4 linked regions of the Arabidopsis thaliana genome follow. The protein of the gene in region 1 purifies or fractionates together with the protein of each later gene. This does not show direct contact. Each region holds a gene or a part of one and is shown in the gene's direction. Other genes may lie near its edges. The genes, in order: AT4G26630, AT5G23430, NET1B and LPPepsilon2.

The links.
Region 2: the proteins of AT4G26630 (region 1) and AT5G23430 purify together in Arabidopsis thaliana (affinity purification with mass spectrometry, with the first as the bait; one large-scale study listed by BioGRID). This does not show direct contact.
Region 3: the proteins of AT4G26630 (region 1) and NET1B purify together in Arabidopsis thaliana (affinity purification with mass spectrometry, with the first as the bait; one large-scale study listed by BioGRID). This does not show direct contact.
Region 4: the proteins of AT4G26630 (region 1) and LPPepsilon2 purify together in Arabidopsis thaliana (affinity purification with mass spectrometry, with the first as the bait; one large-scale study listed by BioGRID). This does not show direct contact.

What each region holds. Positions count from the first base shown.
Region 1 is NC_003075.7:13,429,898-13,437,398, reverse strand, and holds AT4G26630 (DEK domain-containing chromatin associated protein), read left to right. Parts: upstream 1-1,628; 5' UTR 1,629-1,747; exon of another isoform or gene 1,748-1,803; intron 1,804-2,473; 5' UTR 2,474-2,521; coding exon 2,522-3,556; intron 3,557-3,631; coding exon 3,632-3,665; intron 3,666-4,096; coding exon 4,097-4,179; intron 4,180-4,349; coding exon 4,350-4,409; intron 4,410-4,488; coding exon 4,489-4,599; intron 4,600-4,798; coding exon 4,799-4,891; intron 4,892-4,973; coding exon 4,974-5,057; intron 5,058-5,231; coding exon 5,232-5,730; intron 5,731-5,926; coding exon 5,927-6,018; intron 6,019-6,238; coding exon 6,239-6,269; intron 6,270-6,356; coding exon 6,357-6,526; 3' UTR 6,527-6,994; downstream 6,995-7,501. Other genes in the region: WRKY20 (WRKY family transcription factor family protein), read left to right, coding at 1-101. UniProt on the Arabidopsis thaliana protein: Chromatin-associated protein which contributes to the modulation of chromatin structure (such as super-helical structure of DNA) and function.
Region 2 is NC_003076.8:7,894,550-7,902,315, reverse strand, and holds the start of AT5G23430 (Transducin/WD40 repeat-like superfamily protein), read left to right. Parts: upstream 1-1,752; 5' UTR 1,753-2,230; exon of another isoform or gene 2,231-2,320; 5' UTR 2,321-2,453; coding exon 2,454-2,481; intron 2,482-2,789; coding exon 2,790-2,920; intron 2,921-3,027; coding exon 3,028-3,145; intron 3,146-3,237; coding exon 3,238-3,464; intron 3,465-4,002; coding exon 4,003-4,105; intron 4,106-4,543; coding exon 4,544-4,614; intron 4,615-4,691; coding exon 4,692-4,766; intron 4,767-4,939; coding exon 4,940-5,083; intron 5,084-5,176; coding exon 5,177-5,522; intron 5,523-5,617; coding exon 5,618-6,130; intron 6,131-6,370; coding exon 6,371-6,430; intron 6,431-6,505; coding exon 6,506-6,627; intron 6,628-6,897; coding exon 6,898-7,032; intron 7,033-7,356; coding exon 7,357-7,431; intron 7,432-7,515; coding exon 7,516-7,628; intron 7,629-7,766. UniProt on the Arabidopsis thaliana protein: May participate in a complex which severs microtubules in an ATP-dependent manner. This activity may promote rapid reorganization of cellular microtubule arrays.
Region 3 is NC_003075.7:8,472,973-8,480,775, forward strand, and holds the start of NET1B (kinase interacting (KIP1-like) family protein), read left to right. Parts: upstream 1-1,803; 5' UTR 1,804-1,944; intron 1,945-2,128; exon of another isoform or gene 2,129-2,149; intron 2,150-2,248; exon of another isoform or gene 2,249-2,484; 5' UTR 2,485-2,558; intron 2,559-2,641; 5' UTR 2,642-2,745; coding exon 2,746-2,845; intron 2,846-2,994; coding exon 2,995-7,001; intron 7,002-7,096; coding exon 7,097-7,803. UniProt on the Arabidopsis thaliana protein: Plant-specific actin binding protein. May be part of a membrane-cytoskeletal adapter complex.
Region 4 is NC_003076.8:26,532,685-26,537,049, forward strand, and holds LPPepsilon2 (Phosphatidic acid phosphatase (PAP2) family protein), read left to right. Parts: upstream 1-1,931; 5' UTR 1,932-2,116; coding exon 2,117-2,449; intron 2,450-2,560; coding exon 2,561-2,786; intron 2,787-2,873; coding exon 2,874-2,947; intron 2,948-3,039; coding exon 3,040-3,125; coding exon of another isoform or gene 3,126-3,267; exon of another isoform or gene 3,268-3,361; intron 3,362-3,592; coding exon of another isoform or gene 3,593-3,617; intron 3,618-3,632; coding exon 3,633-3,840; downstream 3,841-4,365. UniProt on the Arabidopsis thaliana protein: Exhibits phosphatidate phosphatase (PAP) activity in vitro. May play a secondary role as PAP in plastids.

The sequences.
Region 1 (7,501 bases):
GAGAAACAAAGAACGAGACTCAAAATGGTGACATCTCGTCCTTGAACAATTCATCTTACCCATATCCGCCCAACATGGGGAGAGTACAATCGGGTCCGTAAAACAAAAAGTAAGCAACATTATGTACGGGATCTTCTTAGGTTAGGAATGGGACGAGGCCTTGTTCTATATAATTCCTATTTCTTCACAGAGAGCTGATCTTGATTCAAACTATCTCCACCATATATATTTGTTTGTGTCACCTGTATTGAGTTCCAAAAATGTTATGTAAAAATACACAACAAGATGTTAATGCTTTTATTTAAACAAGAAACAGCAATATTACTACAAACTATTTCTTCTTCACCGTAATTAGATATGCTCCATGAAAGAAACACCACGACGGTACTTAAGCTACGTGGTCCTTAAGCAGACAATTACAACTGTTGCCCGTTTTTCAATAATAGTTTCTCAACTTTTAGTTCTAGACTTCTAGATTTGTCAAAAACTCATAATAATGAGATATAAATACTTCGACTAGGTGATTTACCATGGGACAATATTAAACTTTGTTCAATTATTTGGAAGGTTATACTATACAGTCTCTATACAAAATTAAGAGATTTGTGCAAGAAGTAGATTGGCAATTAAAACAGTAACCTTATTCTCTCTTACATGTATCTAGATTATTTGGTGGAAGTTACAATCTCTAATTTCATATTTAGAACTTTTTTTTTTCCGAAGCATTTACTGTTGTTAAAGACAAACATATTAGATTCTTTTAGATCATAGTACCCGTTAAGCAAATAAAAATTTTGTCGCTATCAAACTAATGACATTATAAGTCATTTATAATCATCGTCGTCAAAATAGTCTTGTTTTTTTCACCGGACCAGTGAATCATTTTCATCTTTTGCGGAAAGGTAAAAATCGGATTATCATGTTAATTTTTTTGCAAAAATTGACAACGCTATTTATGGTAGCGGATCGAATCCATCATAAAAAATATTTAAATATAAAATAACAAAATTTGTTAAAGTCACTTATACAATTCTATTCAATTAGATCATTTTACCTAATATAGCGTTGTTTAAATCAATTATAATTGAACATTCAACGAATTCGTTAAATTTCTTTAAAAAGAAGTACATTTTAAGAAAGAGTTTGTTTTAATCATTTGTTCAATCACATAAACTTAGCTTCCTTATCATAAAGAAGTAAAACAATTTCATTAATATTAAACCGATATAGCAATTATTACGTATCAATTTTATTTTTATCTGTTATATAGTAATTTTATAGATAATTTATTTACAAAACTATCATATCATTGAAAAATTACCAAATTAAATTTGTAGTTAAAAAAATATATTTTTCTATAGGTCACAAACATTGAATATGTTAACTTTTTTTGTCCAAAAACCTAATATAAAATCCTTGAAATATAAAGTCTAGGCTCGGTACCTGGTTCGGAACCGGACGTTAGGGTAGTTTATAGCGTCATCGATCCACGAGATGCATCAAACATAAAATCTGAACCGTTGATGAACTCTATTACAGCAATGAAATCGGACGGTAATGATTCATCCTAAGCCTGACGTGGCATTAAATTGTATTTAAAATCTGGCTTTGCGTCCGAATCCTTGAATTTCTCTCTCCTAAAAAACGCTATCAAAAAGAAAAACAAAAGCTATTTGTTCTGTTTTGTAAGAAAAAAAGTAGTTAGAGGAGAAAAAAAACTCAGTGCCGAGTCTTGTGATACTCTGAGGTGAGATTCCGAAGTCTTCTGCTTTAGAACCCTGTGGATACTCTGCTTAAATCTTTGTGAGCTTTTATGTTTTGAGCTTTGTTTGAATTCGCATGTTCTTTTGGTTCTTCTTTGTGTTTGTTTAAAGTTGCGATGAGAAGTTAGGGTTTCTCATGCGCTTCTTTTATTTGTGAATTTCGATGTTTTGATTATTTATTGTCTTTTTGATATCTGATGCTATTAAGTTGTTGACAAAATGCATGAATTTGACGTTGATTGACTTGATTTCGAGAGATTCAAGATGGGTTTGTGTTTTGTCTGAATCTGTGTGGTGTAAGCTCTGGAGATTTGTCTGAATGAAAGGGTGTTTTTTGGTTTCATTTGTCCATCTGGATCTTTGTTCTACTGAATGTATAAGAAGCGAGGATAAATGATGAACCTTCGAGATTTTGGTTTCTTAGTGACTTACGCGAAATTTCCATTTAGTTCTTCTTCTGCAGATCTAAAGTGGGATTAAGTGATAATTATGGATCAATAATGAGATCTAAATTAGATTTGTCTTATTGTTGACTAGCCAAGTTTTAGATGTTGTTTTCCTGGAATTAGTTTTTTTTCGCATATATGCTAAGTGTGAATTCAATGCGTTTTACATGTTCTTTATGTCAAGTTGTTCAATTTCTTTATAGAGAGCATTAATTTCTGCTATCGTAGCAATATTAATCCTCTGAACTGATTTCTCATTCACAGCCACAAGAAGTGTTTTTGGTGGAAGGATCTACTGAACTGGTTTGTAATATGGGGGAAGATACAAAGGCAACCATTGAGCCAACCGCAAACAAGACTACTTCTCTTGAAAAGCCATCAGAGGCTATGGCTGGAAAGGAGAATGCTGGGGGTAAGGAAACACAAGAACTGGCGAAAGATGAGGATATGGCTGAGCCAGACAATATGGAGATAGATGCTCAGATTAAGAAAGATGATGAAAAAGCTGAGACGGAAGATAAAGAGTCAGAGGTTAAGAAAAATGAAGACAATGCTGAGACTCAAAAAATGGAAGAGAAGGTTGAGGTCACCAAAGATGAGGGACAAGCAGAGGCTACCAACATGGATGAAGATGCCGATGGAAAGAAAGAGCAAACTGATGATGGTGTTTCAGTGGAAGATACTGTAATGAAGGAAAACGTGGAATCTAAAGACAATAACTATGCCAAAGATGATGAAAAAGAGACCAAAGAGACAGATATTACTGAGGCAGACCACAAAAAAGCTGGGAAGGAGGACATACAACATGAAGCTGACAAAGCAAATGGAACAAAAGATGGCAATACAGGAGACATCAAAGAGGAAGGGACACTGGTAGATGAAGACAAAGGGACAGATATGGATGAAAAAGTGGAGAATGGGGATGAAAATAAACAAGTGGAGAATGTTGAAGGAAAAGAAAAGGAAGATAAGGAAGAAAATAAAACAAAGGAAGTTGAGGCGGCAAAGGCTGAGGTGGATGAGTCAAAGGTAGAAGATGAAAAAGAAGGGAGTGAGGATGAGAACGACAATGAAAAAGTGGAGAGCAAAGATGCAAAGGAAGATGAGAAAGAGGAGACAAATGATGATAAAGAAGATGAAAAAGAAGAGAGCAAGGGTTCTAAAAAGCGTGGGAAAGGGACGAGTTCTGGAGGAAAGGTTCGCGAGAAGAATAAAACCGAGGAAGTAAAAAAGGATGCAGAGCCTAGGACTCCTTTCTCTGATCGCCCTGTGCGTGAGCGGAAATCTGTTGAGAGGCTTGTTGCATTGATTGATAAAGACTCCTCGAAAGAATTCCGTGTTGAAAAGGTTTGCCAAAACTTTCCTGAGCTGAGTAGAACTTTATTGCTAGATATGTTTATAATAATCCTTTGGATATTACAGGGGCGAGGTGCATATCTCAAAGATATTCCCAATGGTATGTTCATATTCTATCTATCTGTCCTTCAAGCATCTATCTCGAATTATCCTTGTGCTGAAAAGTCTTTTGTGTTAGCTTTCCAAGTTTACAGTTTGAGCCCCTTATTATCTTCAAGTGTGCGTAGCCTAAACGTTCTTTTGTTACGAGAATTCTATGTGCTGGATACTACTAGTTGTTAAATTGCATGTATACTATGGGTGGATTCTTTGATCTATACACTTTTCGGTTCTGGTTATGTGAATCTTCATTTGAATTTTTTTTCTTGGCATTGATCAATTCCAGCCGGCTCAGAAGCAAGATTTCTTGTAAACCAAAATCTAATAATCGCGACCTACCTAAAAAATACCTTTATTGTTCCATTTTTTCATCTTTTTATTTTTGTTTGAAGTTGAAATGAAGTAGATAACTTGAATGTTTCTTCTCTGTAGTTGCTAACAAGGTAATGAGGAAGAGGTCTGATGAAACTTTGAAGCTGCTTCACCCAATTCTATTTGGTGGGAGGAGAGGGAAGGTGAGCGTCTCTTTGGATCCTTTTGACATTATGCTGCTCCAATAGTCATACTTCTAAAATTGTCAATCATGGGCATACTCTTGTAGTTTGAGACCAGTGGTATGGACTCATGTGCTGTAGCAAGTCTGCTAATCATGTTTGTATGTATCTTATTCTTCTTGCTTTAACAGGCTGCTCAGATCAAGACAAACATATTGGGCTTCTCTGGTTTCGTTTGGCATGGAGATGAGGTGTGCAACATTACACATAATGAATGCTTTTACATATGCCTTTGCTTTGTATATAATTGTGGCTCTTTGGTATTTGCAGAAGAAAGCAAAAGAAAAAGTAAAAGAAAAGCTTGAGAAATGCACCAAAGAGAAACTGTGGGAGTTTTGTGATGTGTTGGACATACACATTACCAAGGCTACAACAAAGAAGGTCATTATGGTTATCAATTTCTAAGTTTTTGTTCTTGAGATTCATTTTTTTCCTCTGTGAATAGATACATGTGAAGGTTTAAATTTCTGTCTTTGTTGAGCAGCTTGATTAGCCATTTCTGGTTGTCCAAGTTTATGCTTATTCATTTCCCCATTTAATCGAATCTGGCAACTTCTTGTTGCATGCTTTTTCAACACAGGAAGATATTATTACAAAACTGTTTGAGTTTTTGGAGAAACCTCATGTGACAGGTGATGTGACCGGTGACACTACAGTTTCTGAGAAAGAGAAGGTAATGTGGTGTTGGGAAAGTTTTGTTTGCTTTAATAACTATTGTGCATCTTACATTCTTTAAAAACATTCTGTTGAAACAGTCAAGTAAGGGAGCAAAACGCAAGAGAACTCCCAAGAAAACTTCACCTACAGCTGGGAGTTCATCCTCCAAACGATCAGCAAAGGTAATGCATAGCTTAGAGCTGAGGGCTTGCTTGTTCATTAATCTTGTTATTAACTCTGAAAAGAACGTGTAATCTCAATGTAGCTTATTTGCAACTGTCCATCACTGGTCAACCCGTCAATGTTTCTGGCTAAGTATTTTAATCTGATTATATTATTCTGCACTTCCTTTGCAGAGCCAAAAAAAGTCTGAAGAAGCAACAAAAGTTGTCAAAAAGAGTTTAGCTCATTCTGATGATGAATCTGAAGAAGAGAAAGAAGAAGAAGAAAAACAAGAGGAGGAGAAGGCAGAAGAGAAAGAAGAGAAAAAAGAGGAGGAGAATGAAAATGGCATTCCTGATAAATCTGAGGATGAGGCGCCTCAGCCTTCTGAAAGCGAGGAGAAAGATGAATCTGAGGAGCATTCTGAAGAAGAAACTACAAAGAAGAAACGTGGTTCTAGATTGTCAGCTGGGAAGAAAGAATCAGCAGGGAGAGCCAGAAACAAGAAAGCAGTGGTCGCTGCAAAATCCAGTCCACCAGAGAAGATTACACAGAAGCGGTCATCAGCCAAACGAAAGAAGACTGATGATGACAGTGATACAAGTCCAAAGGCGTCCTCTAAGAGGAAGAAGTCTGAAAACCCTATCAAGGCCTCCCCGGCTCCTTCAAAGTCTGCATCAAAAGAGAAGCCAGGTTTGGTCATTATCCTGTTTTTTTCTTCCAGTAAGATGGTCGCTTAGGTAGAATAAAAACATGTTGGGTGTAGTGTATGTCAGATGCATTGGAGAATCTTATTCCTTATATCTTCATTTTCAGAAGCGAACCAATATACAACCACTAATGTTTTCTGACACCATGTTTATCTCTGTTTGTGTCTATATGCTAAAAGTAAAAAGGGCTGGAAAAGGGAAAGACAAGCCGAGTGATAAAGTGCTGAAAAATGCAATCGTTGAGATCTTGAAAAGAGTGGACTTTAGTACGGTGAGTAATTTCTCAACCTTTTATATGCGATACACTTAACTACTTGGGATGTGTGTGGAATAAAACAAAATTGGATTCTGCCGAACAAACTTATTGGTTACATGAAATAACCTTCGTTTTCTGAAAGCTGATTTGAAGTTTGTTGTGCAATATCTATTCAAACTGTGAATTTCCTTCTATACCTAGATAACCTAATAAGAGCATTGTTGTTCTTCTGCAGGCTACGTTCACGGACATCCTTAAAGAACTTGGTATGAACAGATTGGTTTCAGTCATTTGTTTTTCCAGTGATTCCTGGTTATATATAAAATAAACACATTGTTTCATCCATCTTTCAGCTAAGGAGTTCACAGAAGATCTCACTCCAAGAAAGTCATCTATAAAGATGATAATCCAAGAGGAGCTCACCAAATTAGCAGATGAGGAGGAGGAGGAGGAAAAGAAAGAAGAGGATTCAGAGAAGGAGGAAGCAGGAGGGTCTGGTGGTGGTGAGGAGGTGAAAGCCTAAACTCCTTTCTGATCACATCGCACATATTGAGTCTCTCTGTCAGATACTGTTGCCTAATGCCTAGTAGTCATCTGGCAAATGTGTAAGTTAAATCTGTGGATGTAATATTTTGTTGTTGGAGTCTGAACTGCGTAAAGCAGCTTTACTTTTGGTAGAGACAAGAGGAAGAAGCTGCATAGCCAAAGGATAGGTTGCTTGTATGTCTATAGCATTTAACATAAAAGCCTCCTTGGATTGTCTTTGATTTGTGAGGCTCCCTTTTCGAGACATTGTCAAGGTTTCTTTTGTTTATGTCTTTTGGTTTGAAGGAGGCCAATGGTAATAAATGAATAATATGTTTCTCTTGATTCCCTTTAAGACTTTGAATATTGCAGAAGGAATTTATGCTCATCTTGTATCCTTGATCTATCTCTAACATATCTGCAAATCTACCAACGCAAATCCAGTCTAAGAAATGTAGGAATTGGTACCTCATAAACATATACAACAAAGATTAACATTGATGAAGAAGAGAGTCTGTATTCTTACAGGACCAAAATATACAGAAAAGAATCTGTGCTCTTCTTCTACATCCCCTTTTCGGACAACCCAAACACAAGTTCCAAAAGAATGTAATTGCTGTTGTTACATTCAGAGTACCTAAATAGATTGCAATGGAGACACTGCAAATACATAGAATTCAAAGCAGATGGCTAAACATGGTTAACTATAAGCATAAGCAACACTTGTCCAGGCTTTTATCATTCTGGCTGCAGCTACTATTATCTTATTTGATGTACTAGATTCGAAAAGACCTGTCACACACACAAAGGCAAAAGTACCGGTCCGATTGCAAAATAGAATATCGATTAAGGAGTAAACCGGAATAAGAGTAACGGAATATACTTGACAGACCTCTCTCAGTAGAAGAATCACTGAGAAACTTTCACTTCTTCTTCGTCTCCGTAGTTTCAGTTTCGATCTGTAAAGTTTCAA
Region 2 (7,766 bases), on another chromosome or scaffold:
TTGGTGGGTCAGATTAGGCCCGTTTTTCGTTCGTGGGTCAGATTCTAGGCCCGTATCGGTTTAGCTATTCCTATTCTCATAAACTTTAAAACAAGATATTTTAGGTAGAGAGAAGCGAGTCGTCTTAGTCAAATACATATGCCCTAAGGTAGACAGGTTCATCATCATAGATATCACGAGTCTGTCATTATTCTCAGAAGAAAACTAAAAAAAAAATCTTAGTAATATGTTTAGATTTTGTGAGGAATATTATTATGGTTGTTTGATCAACTCTAACGTACTAACACGTCCATGTATCACGTCTTCCAAAGTTCAACGTTTTATAAAGATTGGAGTATTAAAATTGGAGTGGATGGAGATTCGAGCTTGCATATGAATAATACAATAATTGGATTACAAAACTCAGATTTGGTGACAGCACATCTAGGCCAAGGCCAGGCCAGACCATGGTGGCAATGATTGATTTAGCTTTTTAATTAGCTAATGCATTGTGCGCTTTCAAAAGCAAGCAGCCAAAGTATATGTAATGAGGGACAAAGTAATTTAAACTCTAAAAAGTCAAAACGCTTATATATGTCCGTAATTTTAGGTTTCTATTTCAAAATTTTGTAGTTACTGTAATCTTGTCTTTAAAAGTTGTTACAATCATCTTCCACATAAAAACTTTATCTTACCGAATGTTTATTTAATTAACATCTATCCATAAAGTTGTTTTCTTGATGTTACGTAATTGATTTCTACCACCTAATGAATTTCTTCTTTAACAAGAGAATATAAAAAACATGATTTTAAAATAGGTGTTCCTGATATTTTAATGTAATGTGAAATGTCAATTCTACTTAAATAACATTGCACCAATAAATCAAGTCCCTAATTCTAAAAATTCGACGACGGATAAATGATTAAATTAACCATTCAAAATAATTATGAATTTTTGGTTAAAGTCAAGATTCAAGAAGCATTGCAACATTGAAATCATGGTTTCACAAAAAAAAACTCTTTATTAAATAAAAAAATCTTTTGTTTTTGGAGTTAGAGTTTGTGTACTTGTAAAATGTATGGGATCGCTCATGGCCCCATGCAATTAGGTAGTCCGTTACTTTCAAGCCAAACCTTTCACCATAATTTTTTTGTCTATCCAACGTTGGTCTATCTACTGACTGTCACTGTTCTTTCATTATGGATACAAAGTTACATTTTGCTGTTGGATCGCTCACTTATTTATCCTCACAGTACGTTATCACTAATATTGTATAAAAATACTTTGGAAAATAACCGATAAGTTATATGATCATTGCATATTTGTTTTGGACGAGTTTTTTAAATGTTAAGAGATACTAGAACTGAAACACTTGTACATAAATTTTGTAACTTTTGGACAAGGGTCCATGATAATAAATTTATTTAACATCTAAGCAATAATCACCTATTAATGATTACATCGCCATTTTCCATTATAGCACCGACAGTAGTTTCATAATTCCATTATATAAAATTTCGGTCAAAACATTTTCTTAAGGATTAATTTGCAAACCGCGATTTCAGTTGTGCAATGTCTCCCCTTTTTTAAGTCTTTTATTGATTAAAAACTATTTTTGGATATGCACTAGTACTATTTTGTTCCTACAATCAGAATGTATATACTCTTTTTAATTTTCCACTGAATATACTCTTATGTAGAATAATTAATTGTTATTGTTCATTTTAGATGCAAAATACAAACATGATGGTTTCTGACAAAAAGAAACCAATGGTAAAAGTTTAATAATTTGTACTCTTCCTTGTAAATGTAAATGTGAATAGTAGCAAGATGCATGAAAAATGAGGAACTCAAAGAATTAAATGAAAAAATTGTTTTGGGAATTTGAAATAGAGAGAAGAGGGAGAAAACTTAAAAGAGAGAAGACGTAGCCAAAGGTTAAAAAAGTATCTCTCTCTCTCTCTGCGCCTCCCTTTTTGCTTCTCTCTCTCTCTTCTTCTTCTTCCTTGTGCTCTGCTCTCTGTCAATCTCTCTCTGTCTCCTTTTTTACTTCGCCATTGGAGAAAAGAGAAATCACTTTCAACTTCTCCTTAGATTTTCCGCTTATCTAAGACAACAACGAAGTTCCGAGTATTCCTCAAAAAAATTCCTCCTTTATCATTTCTTCACTTCCCCAAATTTTGTGTGTTTTCGTGGAGCAGAGTGAGATTGGCGTTTTGGGAAGACGAAAGTTAAGCCCTTTTTTGCTGGGTACGGCTTCCATTTCCTAAAGGCTTCATTTTGTATCTTTCCCAGAAATGATTTCTGGGTTTTTGATCTGTTTCCCGTTTGAGCTTTCAGATTGGTTCAGCGGTTGAGAAAGCGGAGATCTTGAGGGCTGCTTGCTTTCTTCGATTTCTCGAGATTTTGGTTTTGGTATGGTTGTTGAGAGTGTAATTTGAATGTCCTCCACTTCAAGGGTTTCGTTTCCGCCATGACCACCAAGCGAGCCTATAAGCTTCGTATCCTTTTCTTACACCAATTTTGATTCTTTTCGTATTTTTCTCTGAGATTCTATTTTTAGGGTTTGTTCTGTGTCACAAGTGCCGTGTTTGATCTACTGCTTTTATTTTGATATGCACGAGATCTGTCTGTGTTCATCTTTTTTCATGTTTGCATTTGTTCCCCGTGGAGTAATTTAATTTAAGACCTTTCGAGAAACTTGTCTGTTTAAATTTAAGACTATTATGAATGAAGTCAAGTTTGAGTTTTGACTAGAGTCTCTATCTGGTACCTATTGCTTAGCCTTGACTTTCTGTGTGGTTTAAAGAGGAATTTGTGGCACATTCTGCTGCTGTCAATTGTCTTAAGATCGGAAGGAAGTCTTCTAGGGTTCTGGTAACAGGTGGTGAAGATCACAAGGTCAATCTTTGGGCTATTGGTAAGCCCAATGCCATTCTGGTCAGTTCTCGGTCTACTGTTTCATTATGTGTTGGTTATAAGTTAGTAGAGTGTTTCTATGGGATTCACTCTTTCTGAGTATCTCATTTGTGCTTGTTTGTTGTCAGAGCTTGTATGGGCACTCAAGTGGAATTGATTCAGTGACGTTTGATGCTTCGGAGGTCTTAGTTGCAGCAGGAGCTGCTAGTGGTACTATCAAACTTTGGGATTTAGAGGAGGCAAAGAGTAAGTTTTGTAGTTCCAAGAGACCATTCTTATTGGACTCGATTTGACTTCTGTGAGTACTTACGTGTTCTTTCACTTGCTTTGTTGAGTAGTTGTCAGGACTCTCACTGGTCACAGGTCCAATTGCATCTCAGTGGATTTCCACCCTTTTGGTGAGTTTTTTGCGTCAGGCTCACTAGACACAAATCTTAAGATATGGGATATACGAAAAAAGGGCTGCATCCATACTTACAAGGGTCACACGCGAGGAGTCAATGTACTCAGATTCACCCCAGATGGTCGCTGGGTTGTATCTGGAGGAGAGGACAACATTGTTAAGGTTGGTAGCTGCTTTCATGTCACTAGTCATTTTTCAGTTCTGGGTATGTGATTTTATCTTCTCTACTGTGGAGGGAAATACAGCTGCTTAGTTGACATAATTAGTTTGGATTTACCTTTGGGAGAATTTGGAGCAATGAAACTGCGCTTTTGGTTATAGACTATGAACTGGCTTTCGAGAGTTGGTAGGAATAAGCTTTTGTTCTAATTCTCTTTGTATGTATCTCATGAATGACGTTCTGTAGTAAGCATTGCCCTTTAAGTGTGGAGGAGAACTTGCGACTATTTAGTGTTACCTCTCTGCACCTGAGCTGAGTATGCTATATGAGAGTATTTAGGACGTACTATTCTTTTGCATTTTGCTAAAACCCACATAGACCACCCTGGCCAACTATTTCGGATGCTTCATCTCTCTCGGTTATTGCTTCTTTACCTCTCTCAGCGCACTGTATTGTTATCTTGAAAAGCAATTTACCGGGAACCTTTTTTTTTATCTTTCTGTGTGTTAATGGATCTGATATGCAGCTTGTCTTTACCAGGTTTGGGATTTAACAGCTGGAAAACTGCTGACCGAGTTTAAGAGTCATGAAGGGCAAATTCAAAGCCTAGATTTTCATCCTCATGAATTCCTACTGGCAACAGGTTTGTATTACTCTTAAAAATTTCTAACACCAACACAAAATAAAACTTCTAGGCTAAGAGTGTCTGATCACAACTGTATTGCGGTTACCAGCCCAGCCCAACCAGTTATATAGATCCCTGTGTCATGGCGTCATCTTCTTTTTATGTAATTGAAACTCTTGTGGCCATCTTATCTTTTTAGCTCTGTGATTTGAGATCTGGAAGTAAATATGCATCTAAAGTATTTTTCATTTCTTTGGTCATATTATTGAGGGTGTGTGTAACATAGATATTTTCAGAATGGTGCTGTGTTGTGTAGATAACAATAGAATGCCGACGTTTTAATAATGACTACTTCTCTCACTCTCTGTTAACGTTCACCTAAATATTTACATGGAATATGTAAAATTAGTGTGATTACAAATATTTGAAGCATTCTGTTTTTGCCTGTGCTAACAGGTTCAGCTGATAGAACTGTAAAATTCTGGGATCTGGAAACATTCGAGCTGATTGGTTCTGGTGGACCTGAGGTACAACTTGTTTTACGCTAAGTCAAATTGGTGACATTTTATTTTCCCTCTACCTTTAATATTCTCATTTTCGCTAGACTGCCGGGGTCCGTTGCCTGAGTTTCAATCCAGATGGAAAGACTGTGCTTTGTGGATTGCAAGAAAGTCTCAAGGTAAATTCTTCTATACTTTGATATGCAGTATGTAGATTCTTAAATTAGATATATGTTAATTGAACAACTCATCTTTTGAAGGATTCGTTCTTATGTTTACTCATTTGCTTTCAAAATACACATTCCTACTCTTCTTACCTCACTCCTTTGGTTTAATCCTGTGCAAATCGTAGATTTTCTCATGGGAGCCAATTAGATGTCATGATGGAGTGGATGTTGGATGGTCAAGATTGTCAGATATGAATGTTCACGAGGGAAAGCTTCTTGGTTGCTCATACAATCAGAGTTGTGTAGGCGTGTGGGTTGTAGATCTCTCGGTATTCCTCTCTCCCTACATATCTTTTTCTTTTTGTTTAATTGTAGCTGGTAGTAATCTTTACGAACCAACTCATTTTCAAATGCATGGTCAGCGTACTGAGCCATGTATGGCTGGAGACACTGCGCAATCAAATGGTCATCCAGAGAAACGATCTTGCTCAGGAAGAGATCCAGTAGTTCTCAATGATAATAACTCAAAGACAGTTCTCGGGAAGCTGTCCGTTTCCCAAAATGTAGATCCTTTATTGAAGGAAACAAAGTCTCTAGGAAGATTATCTGTTTCTCAGAACTCTGATCCTTCGACAAAAGAAACAAAGTCCATTGGAAGGTCATCAACATCACAAAATTCAGAGTCCTCGATGAAGGAATCAAAGCCTCTCGGGAGGTTGTCAGTTTCTCAAAATTCAGACGTTTCTAAAGAGTCAAGGACGTTTTCATGTATGCTTGCTTCTATTATTTTTCTCTTTTCTTCTTACTTAATCTTAGCACTGATTAAATGATATGCCATTTCTGGTTTTGTCTGCTGTTTGAAGCCACAGGAAGTTTACCAGGCACTCCTCATAGGGTCAGTTCGACCAATGTATCAAAAGCCACTTCGGGTGTTTCAACAGCCGTCTCTAATGCTGCAACGTCAAGGAGGAATTTTACAAAAGCTAACCCAAAGGCGAATCCTGTCAATAAGGCAGCAGATTTTGCTCCGGTGATTGTCCCCAGAGCAGACCCTAGAATAGAGCAGGCTACTGAATCCAGAGCAGAACTTGACATAATTGCAAGAACCATGCCGTATTCATTGCAGGCGGCTGATTCCCGAAGGTCACCTAGCAGCAGAAATAACCCTGATCTGCCAGACGCTTCGGTTCTTGAAATGTCTGAGTCTCAGCCAGTTGAACCAAATAATATACCAGATGGGGGTACACTTCCTGGTGGAAAGGTTGGCATGCGGGGTGCAACTGAGCGAAGCATTAATGATTTTAGATACAAGAGATATGGCAGGAGTAATTCAAGGTCACGGATGGGGTCACCTCCACGAAACCACGATGAAAACTGTATGTTTTTGTCCTTTTGAATATTTGCCTGTTTCAGTGCTAATATGAATGTCAGCTGGTAGTCTTACACTACCTTGGCCCCTAAAATGTGGCCTGTAGGGTTAATATTATGAAGTTGCTCCAGTGAAACATGCAAATAGTGGAAAGAATCATGTGTTTAAGATTATTGGTTGCTATGACGTACCTGTGTTGAGTTTGATAGATGATATTCTCAGTTCTAAGCTTTAGTCATTGTTTCAGATGACTTGGTAAGCCACAGATCAAATAGAGACCCAAGCCCCACTGAAAGTCAGAAAGGAGGTGATTCTTCAGCCCAGCTTTCATCTTTTCTTTTGCAAATGAAGCGAATCTCATTCATGTGTCTTATCATATCAGGAAGATTCCAGTCACTCGTCATAAATAGGGAGAGGAGAGGAAGATTTTCAAACTTCGAGGGTCCTGTTTCAAATTTTTCAAGTGGAAATATGCCTGCTCCAAACATCCGCCCTTCAAATATGGTATAATAGCCTTACTATTTTCAACTTGAGATCTTGAGGCAATAACACACTGACTGTAAATTGCCACAAAAGAGGAAAGTTAGAAAGTTACGGACAAAGAGGAAATTAATGCATTTGATTTATACAATTTCAAATGGTACTGCCTTCATAACATCTTAATAGACATAATATTTTGTGATTTAGTAATTTTCAACTACACATCTAGTCATGCTTTTGCTCATGTTCCTCTGAGATCCAGAGATAATAGATATTGTATTTCCTTTCATATAGTTCAAGCAGAGAGGGAACCATATGCCAGTTGAACAAGGGATCGATTCTCCTTCTGAAGAAAATATTGTTGAAGACATAATGGGAAAGCACAATCAATTTGTCAGCTCTATGCAGTCTCGTTTGGCTAAGTTACAGGTAACGTGAAACCAGTCACGTTGTGACAATTTTGTTGGCTTAGCCCTAATTAGACTAGTACCTTGAATACTTATTAGAGTTTTCATATGCTTATGCACGACCACTTAGCATGCGTAGAATTACTATTTCAACACTTGGCATGTTTTAGCTGGGAGTGAAACGCTGGACATGGTTCTCCTCTTCTGCTTATTGAAAATTTTGGTCCTTGTTTACTTATGTTGGTGGATTTTATAGGTGGTTGAGATGTCAGAAGCTTCGCAAAGAGTTAGGGATTGGAAAGACTCCTGATTTATTCTGTCCTAAATTGATTCACCAAATTTGCAGGTAGTTCGTAGATATTGGGAAAGGAATGATGTAAAAAATTCGATAGGCTCGATAGAGAAGATGGCTGATAATGCTGTAAGTATCTTCTTTTTGTATCAGTAGCAGGATATATGAAAAAGATTATCTGCTCACGCCAATCTTCTTATTCATTGGTTACAGGTTACTGCGGACGTACTGGGTATAATAACCGAGAGAAATGAGATTTTGACACTGGATAATTGTACCTCCCTTCTTCCCCTTCTAACAGCTCTTTTAGGGAGCGGCATGGATCAGTAAGAACTCGCTTTTCTGATTTTTAAAAAATGGCAGAGTCGTCTTTCTAAACTTATCATGCCTCATGGATGCATTAATAGGCTTGATCTTTATGGTCATAGATATAGTACATTAGACTAAGAATTCTTGATTTGTTC
Region 3 (7,803 bases), 5.0 Mb from region 1:
CACTTTATCTTACATATACGTCCAAATTGGCTACATTTGTCCATGAATATAATAAAATACACAAACACAAATCTTCTGAGAAACATGTATTGCTTGGTAATTACCATTATATTATCACACGATGGAATCAAATTTTACAAAGAAAAAAAATCTTTTATCATTTTTGGCTTTTGATGAGGACTTTACAGATTAATTGAGTTTCTATTGTTAGCTTCATTAGTGACCAAAACAAGACAGGTTATAAACTTGTTCTCACATATAACTCTTTTTGTGACATCCCACCTTTTTTTATGTCTCTTCTACTCACATTTTTTTCTGTGGAGATCTTGATGACCCCTCTTCTTGATCATTATCCATTTTTTAGATCTTGAACGTACACTTATTGATGTTTGTTGGTGGAAATGTGGCTTGCGTGCAAAACAAAAAGAAAAATATTTGAACATCTTGCGGTTTTTGAGACTCTAAGATTGTAATTTGACAAGCACTTTATCCTCACTAATACATGTAATCAAATGATATAACAATTTGAATTATAACTTTTTATACATTTAACTGTGTTTGTAGGCATTTGTTTTAGTTTAAATATCTTTTTAAACTATCTATTTTCAATATTGATATTTCAATTTTGACGATTTTTGTAATTAAAAAAAAATTGTTATTTAAATAGGCGACTTTACATTGGAGGCAATATCTCTTACTAAATTTTGTGATTAAAATTTGTTTTTTTTTTTTAAAATGCAGTCATCTTCCGGAAAAGATCAATCGTCCTCTTGAAACCCCTAATTTTCTATTGCTGAAATCTTTAATAATTTCACTAAACATCATTAATATCGATGATCACATCTTATCCAGGGCCAAAACAATATCTATCTCACCGATCCTCCCGTTAATAGTTCATTTGTCAACGGCTATAATCGTTCAGACATAGTATTGAATATCAGTGAGATCTTTCACTTTGCAACAATTTTTTTTATTAGTTAAGAAGAGACATTAAACAATATTTGCTTACTCCTTTGTTAATACATATGATTAATTAAGAACACAAAAAGCTAATATGCATGATTACACGGGCAATAATGTTGTTCAACATGTCCCTTTTTATAAAGTGAGAAGTGTAAATATTTATTTTCTTGAAAAAGTAGTTACAGGTGATAAGTTTGTATATAGAACAACAATTGAATACATGCATGCCTAACATTTCTTAAAACATAACATGCCCAACTTATTGCTAACTTCAGACTAATAAATGAGATGGTGTGATACACACACTATATATAATATATGAGAGAAGCTTAAACTACTAAATACATGTAAAATGCTAAAATAATGTTTTCTTTATACAGTTGATCATTTTAGACTAAAAAATCAGATTACATAATCTAAAATAAATCATTGTCGAAATTAAATTAAACAAAGATATCTAAGACATTATTCATTATTGAAATTACTGTATTTAATGTGGACACATTTGTCGTATGTTGAAATTTTTGATATGTCACATTTGTGCCTCTCTGCATATCAAAGTCTTTCATATTTAAATCCTATCATATTGCCGACACTTAAAATCCTTTTTTTTTTCTTTCACTAAACCATATTCCTATAAAGATACAAAAATTTCCTTAAATTTCGTTAAACAGGTAATTTTTCTACTATTTAATTACAAAATGACACCAAGATAAAAAAGAGTCCAAAAGATATAGACAAAAAAAAGGTAAGAAAATTTATTTTTACAAAAAAAAGGTAAGAAAAATTATTAAAAATCGAATATTTACTATATGCGCCAATCATACTAATTATTCTCTTGTCACGCAGTGTAGACGAAGGAGAGAGAGAAGAGAATGTTGTGTGTCTCTGTGGTTCTCCTCCATTGATGTCTGAAACTGAAGAGTCAAGTGATTGAATTTGTGTTCTTGTTTTTTACCCTTTGTATATATTTCTTTTTGGGTAAGTAAGTGCTTTTGATCCTTTAGAAATTCTCTGAGATAAATCGTTTTCGCTTGATGTTTCAGTTTTCAATCGAAAGTTGTCATCTTTGTGTCGCTGTTGCTTGCATTCATCACAAGTTTTTCTCCTGAATTTCGATAAAGTTACTTCCTTTGGCAATTTTGTTGCTACCCATTTTCATATTTCTGGTTAATTTCATCTACAAGTAAGATTTGTTTAGCTTTGTTTGTGTATATAAGTTTGATTAGTTTTGTTCCCAAAGTTTGACGAAGAATTGTTATTTGCTGTCTCTATTATTGGTGGTTGATGAAGTGTCTGTCTCTCTATGATACATTTTCCTGAAGTCTGCAGTTTTCAGTTTGTACCAACTCAATTCTTATGAAACATAAAGACTAGCTTTTCCCTTTTCTCCCTCTTCTTGATTGTGTTTTGTTATACATTAAAAAGCTTACTCATGTTTGTATCTTTGTCTATGCCTTGTTTGAAGATAGTTTTGTGTGTTATCTCTCTGAAGATTGCTGTTTTTTTTTTCTTGTTCAGGACGATCCAGTGTTTATCATTCTTAAGGACACCAAATTGATATTTAGCATTAAGTACAAATCCACAGTGCAAAGGTTTGTTTGCATTGGGAAAGCAATTTAAATCTAATGTAACTTCCTTCGTTGTTTAGCTTGATTATAAGGTCATTTTGTTTCAGTTTTGTAGAATTCTTAGTTTCTAGCATACTAGTAGAGGATCAAAGGAATCAAGTAGTTTACTTTGGCGTAGAACCCGTTCGTTGAGCTTCTTGCAGCAGCTGTTATGGCCAGTCTGTCGCAGTCAGAATCTGGGAGGTTGTACTCGTGGTGGTGGGATAGTCACATTCCTAAAAACTCAAAATGGATTCAGGATAACCTTGCAGGTATTCTATAATCTTTCTTGACTTCTCCTTGGTGTTTTTTATGAGTCTTGAAAATTGTGGCATTATAATGCTTTTGATTTGTATGTTTAAAGATATTTTGTTTCTTTTGGAAGTCAATTTAAAGGAAATATTTGTTTGTGTTGAAACAGACATGGATTCCAAAGTCAAGACAATGATAAAGCTCATCGAAGCTGATGCAGATTCGTTTGCAAGAAGGGCAGACATGTACTTCAAGAAACGTCCAGAGCTAATGAAACTGGTGGAAGAGCTATACAGAGCTTATCGTGCTTTAGCTGAGAGGTATGATCATACAACTGTGGAGCTTCGGCGTGCGCATAAAGTCATGGTTGAGGCGTTTCCTAACCAGATGTCTTTTGACATGATTGAGGATTCTGCATCATCTTCTTCTGAGCCTCGTACAGAAGCAGATACAGAAGCTCTACAAAAGGATGGTACTAAAAGTAAAAGGAGTTTTAGTCAGATGAATAAATTAGATGGAACTTCTGATTCTCACGAAGCAGATTCTGAAGTTGAAACCTTAAAGAGAACATTGCTTGAGCTTCAGACTGAAAAGGAAGCTTTGAATCTCCAATATCAGTTAATCTTGAGCAAAGTATCCAGATTTGAAAAGGAACTCAACGATGCTCAAAAGGATGTTAAAGGATTTGATGAACGTGCTTGCAAAGCTGACATTGAGATTAAAATACTCAAGGAATCTCTTGCAAAGCTAGAGGTGGAGAGGGATACTGGGCTTCTTCAGTATAGTCAAGCCATTGAGAGAATAGCGGATTTGGAAGCATCGATTTCTCATGGGCAAGAATATGCGAAGGGGCTCACTAACCGAGTGTCTGAAGCAGAAAGAGAAGCCATGAGTCTCAAGAAAGAGCTTTCTAGATTGCAGTCTGAGAAGGAGGCTGGCTTGCTACGATACAATAAAAGCCTTGAGTTGATATCTTCCTTAGAGAAGACAATTAGAGATGCGGAGGAGAGTGTTAGAGTATTCAGGGACCAATCGGAACAAGCAGAAACTGAAATCAAAGCTTTGAAACAAGAACTTCTGAAGTTGAACGAAGTCAATGAGGACTTGAATGTTCGATATCAGCAGTGTTTGGAGACAATATCAAAGTTAGAGAGAGAAGTTTCTCATGCTCAAGATAATGCCAAAAGACTGAGCAGTGAAGTTCTTGCTGGCGCTGCAAAAATAAAGACTGTGGAGGAACAATGCGCTCTTTTGGAGAGCTTCAATCAAACAATGAAGGTAGAAGCAGAAAATCTAGCGCACAAAATGTCAGCTAAGGATCAAGAACTTTCCCAGAAGCAAAACGAGATTGAAAAGCTTCAAGCTGTAATGCAAGAAGAACAATTGCGGTTTTCAGAACTTGGAGCTAGCCTTCGAAATTTGGAGAGTTTGCATTCTCAATCCCAAGAGGAGCAGAAGGTTCTCACCTCAGAACTTCATAGCCGGATTCAAATGTTGAGAGAACTGGAGATGCGAAATAGTAAGTTGGAAGGTGACATCAGCTCTAAAGAAGAAAACCGAAACTTAAGCGAAATAAATGACACTTCTATCTCCTTGGAGATTCAGAAAAATGAGATCTCTTGCTTGAAGAAAATGAAAGAAAAGCTCGAGGAAGAAGTTGCGAAACAGATGAACCAGAGCAGTGCCCTTCAAGTAGAGATCCACTGTGTGAAGGGTAATATTGACAGCATGAATAGGAGATACCAAAAACTAATTGACCAAGTAAGCCTCACAGGTTTCGATCCCGAATCTCTTTCCTACTCCGTGAAGAAACTACAAGACGAGAACTCGAAGCTAGTCGAGTTATGCACCAATCAGAGAGACGAAAATAATGCTGTTACAGGGAAGCTATGTGAAATGGACAGCATTCTAAAGAGGAATGCTGATTTGGAGAAATTGCTTCTGGAATCAAACACCAAACTAGACGGTTCCAGGGAGAAAGCGAAGGATCTGATAGAAAGATGTGAGTCTTTACGAGGAGAGAAATCTGAGCTTGCTGCCGAGAGAGCTAACTTGGTTTCCCAGTTGCAAATCATGACTGCGAATATGCAGACACTCTTGGAAAAGAACTCTGTATTAGAGAAATCCCTGTCTTGTGCAAACATTGAGCTTGAAAGTTTGAGGGATAAGTCAAAGTGCTTTGATGATTTCTTCCAGTTTCTCAAAAATGATAAGTCTGAGCTTATGAAGGAAAGAGAATCTCTTGTCTCTCAGTTGTGTAAGGTTGAGGAGAAGCTAGGAGTCTTGGAGAAGAAGTATACAGAACTGGAAGTAAGGTATACTGATTTACAGAGAGATAATAAGCTCAAAAGCCATCAAGTAGAAGAGTTACAGGTCTCACTTGCCGCTGAGAAGCAGGAGAGTGCTAATTACAAACGATCTACTGAAAGCAGATTAGCAGATCTTCAGAAGAATGTGAGCTTTCTTCGAGAAGAGTGTCGTTCCAGGAAAAGAGAGTACGAGGATGAGCTTGACAGAGTTGTAAACAAACAAGTCGAGATCTTCATCTTGCAAAAGCTTATAGAAGATCTAGAGCAGAAGAATTTTTCTCTCCTGATTGAGTGTCAGAAGCATGTTGAAGCATCAGAATTTTCCGAGAAACTCATTGCTGAGCTGGAAAGTGAGAATCTCGAGCAGCAGATGGAAGCAGAAATATTTTTGGATGAGATTGATAGCTTGAGAGGTGCAATCTATCAGGTGATAAAGGCACTTCAAGTTGAAGCAGATTGCAAGACTGAACAGAAGATTACAAAAGACCAAATTTCAGTTTCACGTGCTTTGGGAGAGATTGATAGCCTAAAAGGTTCACTCTCCAGTGCTGAATATGAGATGCATCGACTTGTAGTTGAGAACTCGGTGCTTTTATCTCTACTTGGACAATTCCAGTCAGATGGTTTGGTGCTCGAATCGGAGAAGAACATACTCGAAAAAGATCTAAAGACTAAAATACATCAGTGTGGAATGCTTGAAAAGGACAAGCAAGATCTACAGGAAGCGAACCGGTTGTTGAAATCAAAACTGATCAAAAGAGAGCAACAAGAGCAAAAGCTGAGAGCTGAACTGAAATTTGAGAATTTGAAGTTTGAGAGTTTGCATGACTCATACATGGTTTTGCAACAAGATTATTCCTATACACTCAATGATAACAAAACTTTGCTTCTGAAATTTTCAGAATTTAAAGATGGAATGCATGTAGTTGAGGAAGAAAATGATGCAATTCTTCAGGAGGCTGTTGCTTTGAGTAACACGTGTGTTGTTTACAGGTCCTTTGGGTCTGAAATGGCTGAGGAGGTCGAAGATTTTGTTGAAACTGTAAGCAGTTTACGAGAAATTAGTACGGGACTGAAGCGCAAGGTTGAGACACTGGAGAAGAAGTTAGAAGGTAAAGAGAAAGAAAGTCAAGGTCTTAACAAGATGCTGGAAAATTTACAGGAAGGCCTTGAAGAAGACAACTTCTTAACTGGACTCTTGGAACATCAGGTTTCTAATGTAGACGAAATCTTGGAACATAGGGAAATGGAGATCCTAGAAGCAGAGCATATGCTCAAGGCCACAAACAATGAAAACGAAGAGCTGCACAAAGAAGTTGAGGAGCTGAGGAAAGACTATGAAGACTCAAGACGGATGAGGGCAAATTTAGAGTGGCAGATTTCTGAACTGTCAGATGTTGCTGGAAGACAGGAGGAAGAGATTAGAAAACTTAACGCTTTGAATGAGAATTTGGAGTCAGAGGTACAGTTTTTAAACAAAGAAATTCAACGACAACAGGTTCGAGAGGAGTACCTGAGTTTGGAGCTGCAAGAGAAAAGCAATGAGATTGGACTTTGGGATTCTGCGGCAACATCTTTCTACTTTGATCTTCAGGTCTCAGCTATCCGTGAACTCATTCTTGAGAACAAAGTTAACGAACTCTCAGGAGTTTGTGAAAACCTCAATGATGAAGTTGTTACGAAAACGACTAAGATTAAACAGATGAAAGAAACAGTTGGATTTTTGGAGTCTCAAGTGACTGAGCTGAAGAGTCAGTTGTCAGCTTATGATCCTGTGATAGCATCTTTGGCAGGGGATGTAAAAGCCCTTGAGAAAAGTACACATGCTTTAACGAAATTTCCTGCAACAGCCTATCAACAAAGAGTGGTAAACTTTTGCACTCGTTCTTCTATTTCAAATGTCAACTCATCTTTCTCGCTGTACCGATCTTAAATAATTCTAAACATTTCCATTTTTTTCAGGGAAACAATCTGGAAGAAAGCGGCAGTACCACCAGCCCATGCAATGGAATTGTGATTCTGAAGGAAATTAATCCAAGTATTAAGACCATCGAACAAGCATTTGTTAAAGAAAAAGGCAGGCTATCAAGGCAAATAACACGAAGCACCTCCCAAAAACGCAGAGACCGCAGGAAGATTGAAAATATACAACCTGATGACCAGGTCACTGGTGAATCTAGACAGCCAAGATTGAGGCCTGAGATGACAGAGGTGAAAAATGAATTATTAATGAAAGACAATCCTCGTGATCAAGTCACAGACTCCCTGACCTATGGCAGAAGCCAGGGAACTAGTCATGGTTCCAATGACATGTTTGAGTTTTGGGATGAATCTGCTGAATCAGAGACCAGTGTAAACTTTCTCATCAACAGTAACAAACCGCAGAGGTCATTGAACTCCAATCTCCGTCATCAAAGCCGGAATCCCTCTATAGAATCTGATAAAGCGGTTGGAGTTGTTGACAAACTAGAGTTATCTAGAAACATCGAAGACAAGGCAAAGATTCTGGAGAGACTTTTGTCTGATTCAAGGAGACTGTCAAGTCTCCGGATTAGCCTAACAGATCTGAAAAGAAAGCTGGAGATGAATGAGAAACAAAGAAGATTCAGCAACGCTGATTTGGTTATAGTGAAGAGACAGTTGAAAGAAATGGAAGAAGCTGTCTCGCA
Region 4 (4,365 bases), on another chromosome or scaffold:
AATAAATTATTGAATGGACAATAGTTTTCTTATAAAGATACTCGTGGCCAAAAGATCATGACAAAGAATTTCGAATGGTGTTAATTAGTACTAGTAGTCAATTCGACAAAGTTATAAGAAAAAGAGGGTTAATTAATCGATAATACAGGCTGGTTCGACCCATGCATAACATATCATATTTCCTCTGCTTCCTTTATAAATTGTTCTCTTTAAAACTATGCGCATGTAATACCATTCTTAAGCATCATTCTTATATCCGCAGACGCATACCTGCACGCATGCGTAGATTTGTACGTATTAGTATCAATTAAAAGTTATGACCATAAATATCTTGGTATTCAATTTATGTATACACTAATAACTTGGTAAAAGTGTTGTACTAGATATGATAGGAGGAGACTAGAAGGAAGTAGGGCTGAAGATTGTTTCCTTGTTGGGGTCCTGGTTCAATACTTTGACCACTGTAAAAGCTATACGTTGTCAGTGATAAGAAAATCATCATGAATTTCAGGACTATCTGGTTCGACACGACACCGTATTAACCCCTTTTTCACTTTCAAACTTGAATATGTATTATTTTTTCATATTTGGCTCTCAAGTCATGTTCAATTTCTGCCACAACACCGTGTATAACTGTACTTTGTAGATTGAGTTTGACAGAGTGATAGACGCATCAACACATCTTTTATCTACGAGAATAAATGTATTTATAAACGACACCCAGTTTTCATCTCCAATGACAAGACGCTCTGGCGTGTGGTAACCCACACTCCAGCCTAACTTCAGTTTAAAACCTCGTGTAACTACTAACTACCAGTATTAGCGGTTTACTTTTCTCCATGTCTGTATCACTGTATGTATGTAATTAAACATGACAACAAATATTAAAACTAGCACGAAGAAGCAAGACCTTAACTGACACATGATTTTCGACGATTACTTTAAAATAAGAAAAATAAAATTAAAAAAACAAAACGTCTATATTTTACAGATATCAAATAAAAATTCTCAAAAACAAAAGTATTGATGTTATAATTTAAAGAGAAGAAAACATCGTTCTACTATAAACCATGTCCTTTAAACCAAGAAACATAAGGATATTTTTTTGTTCGAGACGATATTCGATCGTTGCTTTTGTGACTATAATCATTTTTAATCCACAACCAAAAGCTATAATCGAAAGTAAATATTATTTTGAATAAAAGGAGTATAGATTAAATAATTAATATAGTTATGTTGTGCAATGGGAAAACTTTTTTATGCGAGAATCTATTTACACATCAGCCTGAATGTATAAAAACTAAAAAGGATAACCAAGAATATATTTCTAAGACCTAAGTATACGTATAGTAATTTAATTGGTCATCTTCTTTGTTCCACCTTTTCTTTTTTCCTTAGCAAAGTTTGTTAAGCATATTCGACCTCCAATATACTCCATATAATGTATACTCCATATAATGTATTTTTCTCCATCACATGTATGTATGTCTATAAAATTCCAAAATAAGCAACAATGTTCTAAAACGATGAGACATTAATAATATTCCTAAGAATAAAAATCGTGTACACGGCTTTCCCACCGTTAAATGCCATTATTTTCGATCATATTCGGGTTTCAACAGTTCAACTTGTTAACAAATTTCCTTTTCAATTTCATCTTTTAACTTTAGATTCTTTTCCCCTAATATCCATTGGTTAAGATAAAAAGCACAAATTCCTTCCTATAATCCACAAGAAAGGTAGAAGAAAACTAGAAACCGAGAGATAAAATGGATTCATCAATGGGCCTATTTTAAAGCAAATTGTTAATGAGCTTTTTATGGGCAAATTTAACAAAGACCAACAGAAGATTGGATCGCAATTAATGGGCTTTTATGCATAAGATTAAGTGATTATGCATTTAATATTTGAATTACTAGAAATTAACACATACTTTGTAATAATAACCACAACTTCCCAATCTTCTTCATCAGATTTTGCTAGTTCGTCACACACACGGATCATGTAATCTGCTTCTTCTTCGTTTTTACGATTTGATCCCAAAGTTTTTCAATTCTATAAATTTGTGAAAGCGAATCGTTTGATTTGACTTATAGGTTGACTCTTTTCTTTGGAAATGGCAGCGTCATCATCTTCTCTTCTTCTTCTCCACAAGCCCACCTACAATTTCCATTTCGCCGCTTCCTCTGTTCCCACTTACATCAATTCCGCTCGATTTCGAATTTCGAGCTCAATCTTCCCTTTGGATCGAAGAAGAAGAAGAAGAATCTGGTCTGTCTCTGGCTTTAAATCTATGGCCGATTTGGTTAAAACCAATGCTCGCAGAGACGGTGAAGATCGATTCCAAGCGCTCGAGCAAGAGGCTTTCATCAGTAATTCGTCGTCGGAGCTCCAGAACGAGTTGGTATCCGACGCCGGCGATGGTATTGAAGCAATCGCTAATCGTCTGGTTGGTATTCGAATTCCCTGATGCACACAACCTGTTTGATGTAATGCCTATCTTCTAAGAAACACAAAGCAAACATTTTTCTTTTGTTGCTGCATTTTTGTGAAATGGCAGAGCAAATGGATTGTAGCAGCTCTGTTTGGATCCGTTCTGCTTCTACGACATGATGGTGCAGCTTTGTGGGCTGTGATTGGATCGGTTTCAAATTCCGTGCTCTCAGTAGCTTTGAAACGTATACTTAACCAAGAGAGACCTGTTGCTACTCTCCGTTCTGATCCTGGGATGCCTTCTTCTCATGCCCAATCCATTTCTTTCATCTCTGTGTTTTCTGTCTTCTCCGGTAAACAATCAGTCACAATGCTCATCTGTTTCTTCCCTTGCATTTGATCAACTCTTAAAGATGACTTTATTACTCTTATTTCCACAGTTATGGAGTGGCTTGGAACCAATGTACTCTCTCTGTTCCTTAGCGGCTTCATCCTCGCATTGGGTTCTTATTTCGTAAGTCTTCATATCATTTTAGGACATGAATCAAGTTAACAATTATCGTTGAAAACGAAATATTGACACTGATGTTTTATTTTGGGGTATAGACGTGGTTAAGGGTTTCTCAGAAGCTTCACACGACAAGTCAAGTGGTCGTAGGTGCAATCGTGGGTTCTGTTTACTCCACCTTATGGTATGTAACTTGGAACTCTCTTGTTCTTGAAGCCTTTACCTCAACATTCTCAGTACAAATAGCTCTCTTTCTGGTTGCTGCTGCGTCTGCTTTAGGTTTTGCAGTTTATGTGCTACTTAACTGGTTTAAAGATGACAGATGACAGAATGATAATTATCAGTACTTAGGATGTATAAGGAATGCATTTGATTCTCCTTATAATTCATATTGATTGAGCTATTTTAACATTCAATGATACCACTTGTGCTGCTATTGTATCAAGGGCCAAGTTTGTTTTAACATATTAGAGTTAAGAATCATATTATGAGCTTCTGCACCGGATACTACTAATTCCAATATACTGTATATATCTTCACTTTGTGAATGAGACCAACTGCACGTTGAATCCCTATCCATGATCTTAGTTGATGACCATCCAGGCACTTTGATCACGCCGTTTGATTTCATTACTTTCCTTACATGCGCAGCTTCTTCCAATTTCCCTGTGCTTGAATATATATTGGCTAGTGTTACAAATGCAGTTTCAGAAGTAGGATCCAGCTCTAGAATCCTCTCAGCCGCCCTTCTTCCACGTTCAGTGTCTCCTTTCGCCTTACACGCATTGAGAAGTGTGGTCCAGACTACATCGTCCTTCTTCCATGGCATCTCATTGATCATCTGCTCTGCAACACTTGGCCGGCCTGCTCTACACAGCAGATCAACCATACATCCATAGTGTTCCTTGGTTGGTCTGATAATATACTTCTCTTGCATCAAGTTGAGATAGTGAAAACCAAGGTCATGATGTCCTGAATGAGTAAAGGGCGAGAGAATGCTGATGAAAGTTACAGAGTCGGGTCTGAGACCAACCTTCAGACTCTTCTCAAACAGATCTATAGCTTTTTAGGTCTTTCCATGTTCTGCATATCCATTGATCAAAGAAACAATATCATCTCTGTCTATTTCTGCGAATACTTTGAAGCTTCTTCGATACTTCCACATTTTGAGTACATATTAATCAGAGCACTACGAATAGTAGAGTTCTGTTCTAAACTAAGATAAAGAGCAAGCGCATGAACTTGCCTGCCTTGCTCAAGAACTGCCATGGTTCCTGAAACACTCAGCAAACTAGTAAGAGCAGGATTTGGTTTTGACCCTGCTTGTCTCATCCATGAGAAATACGTAAAAACTTCTTCTCCTAAACCTGGCTGAGTGCCTGAGAGTACCCTCGAGTAATCGTGCTCCACGAAATAATGTGAAC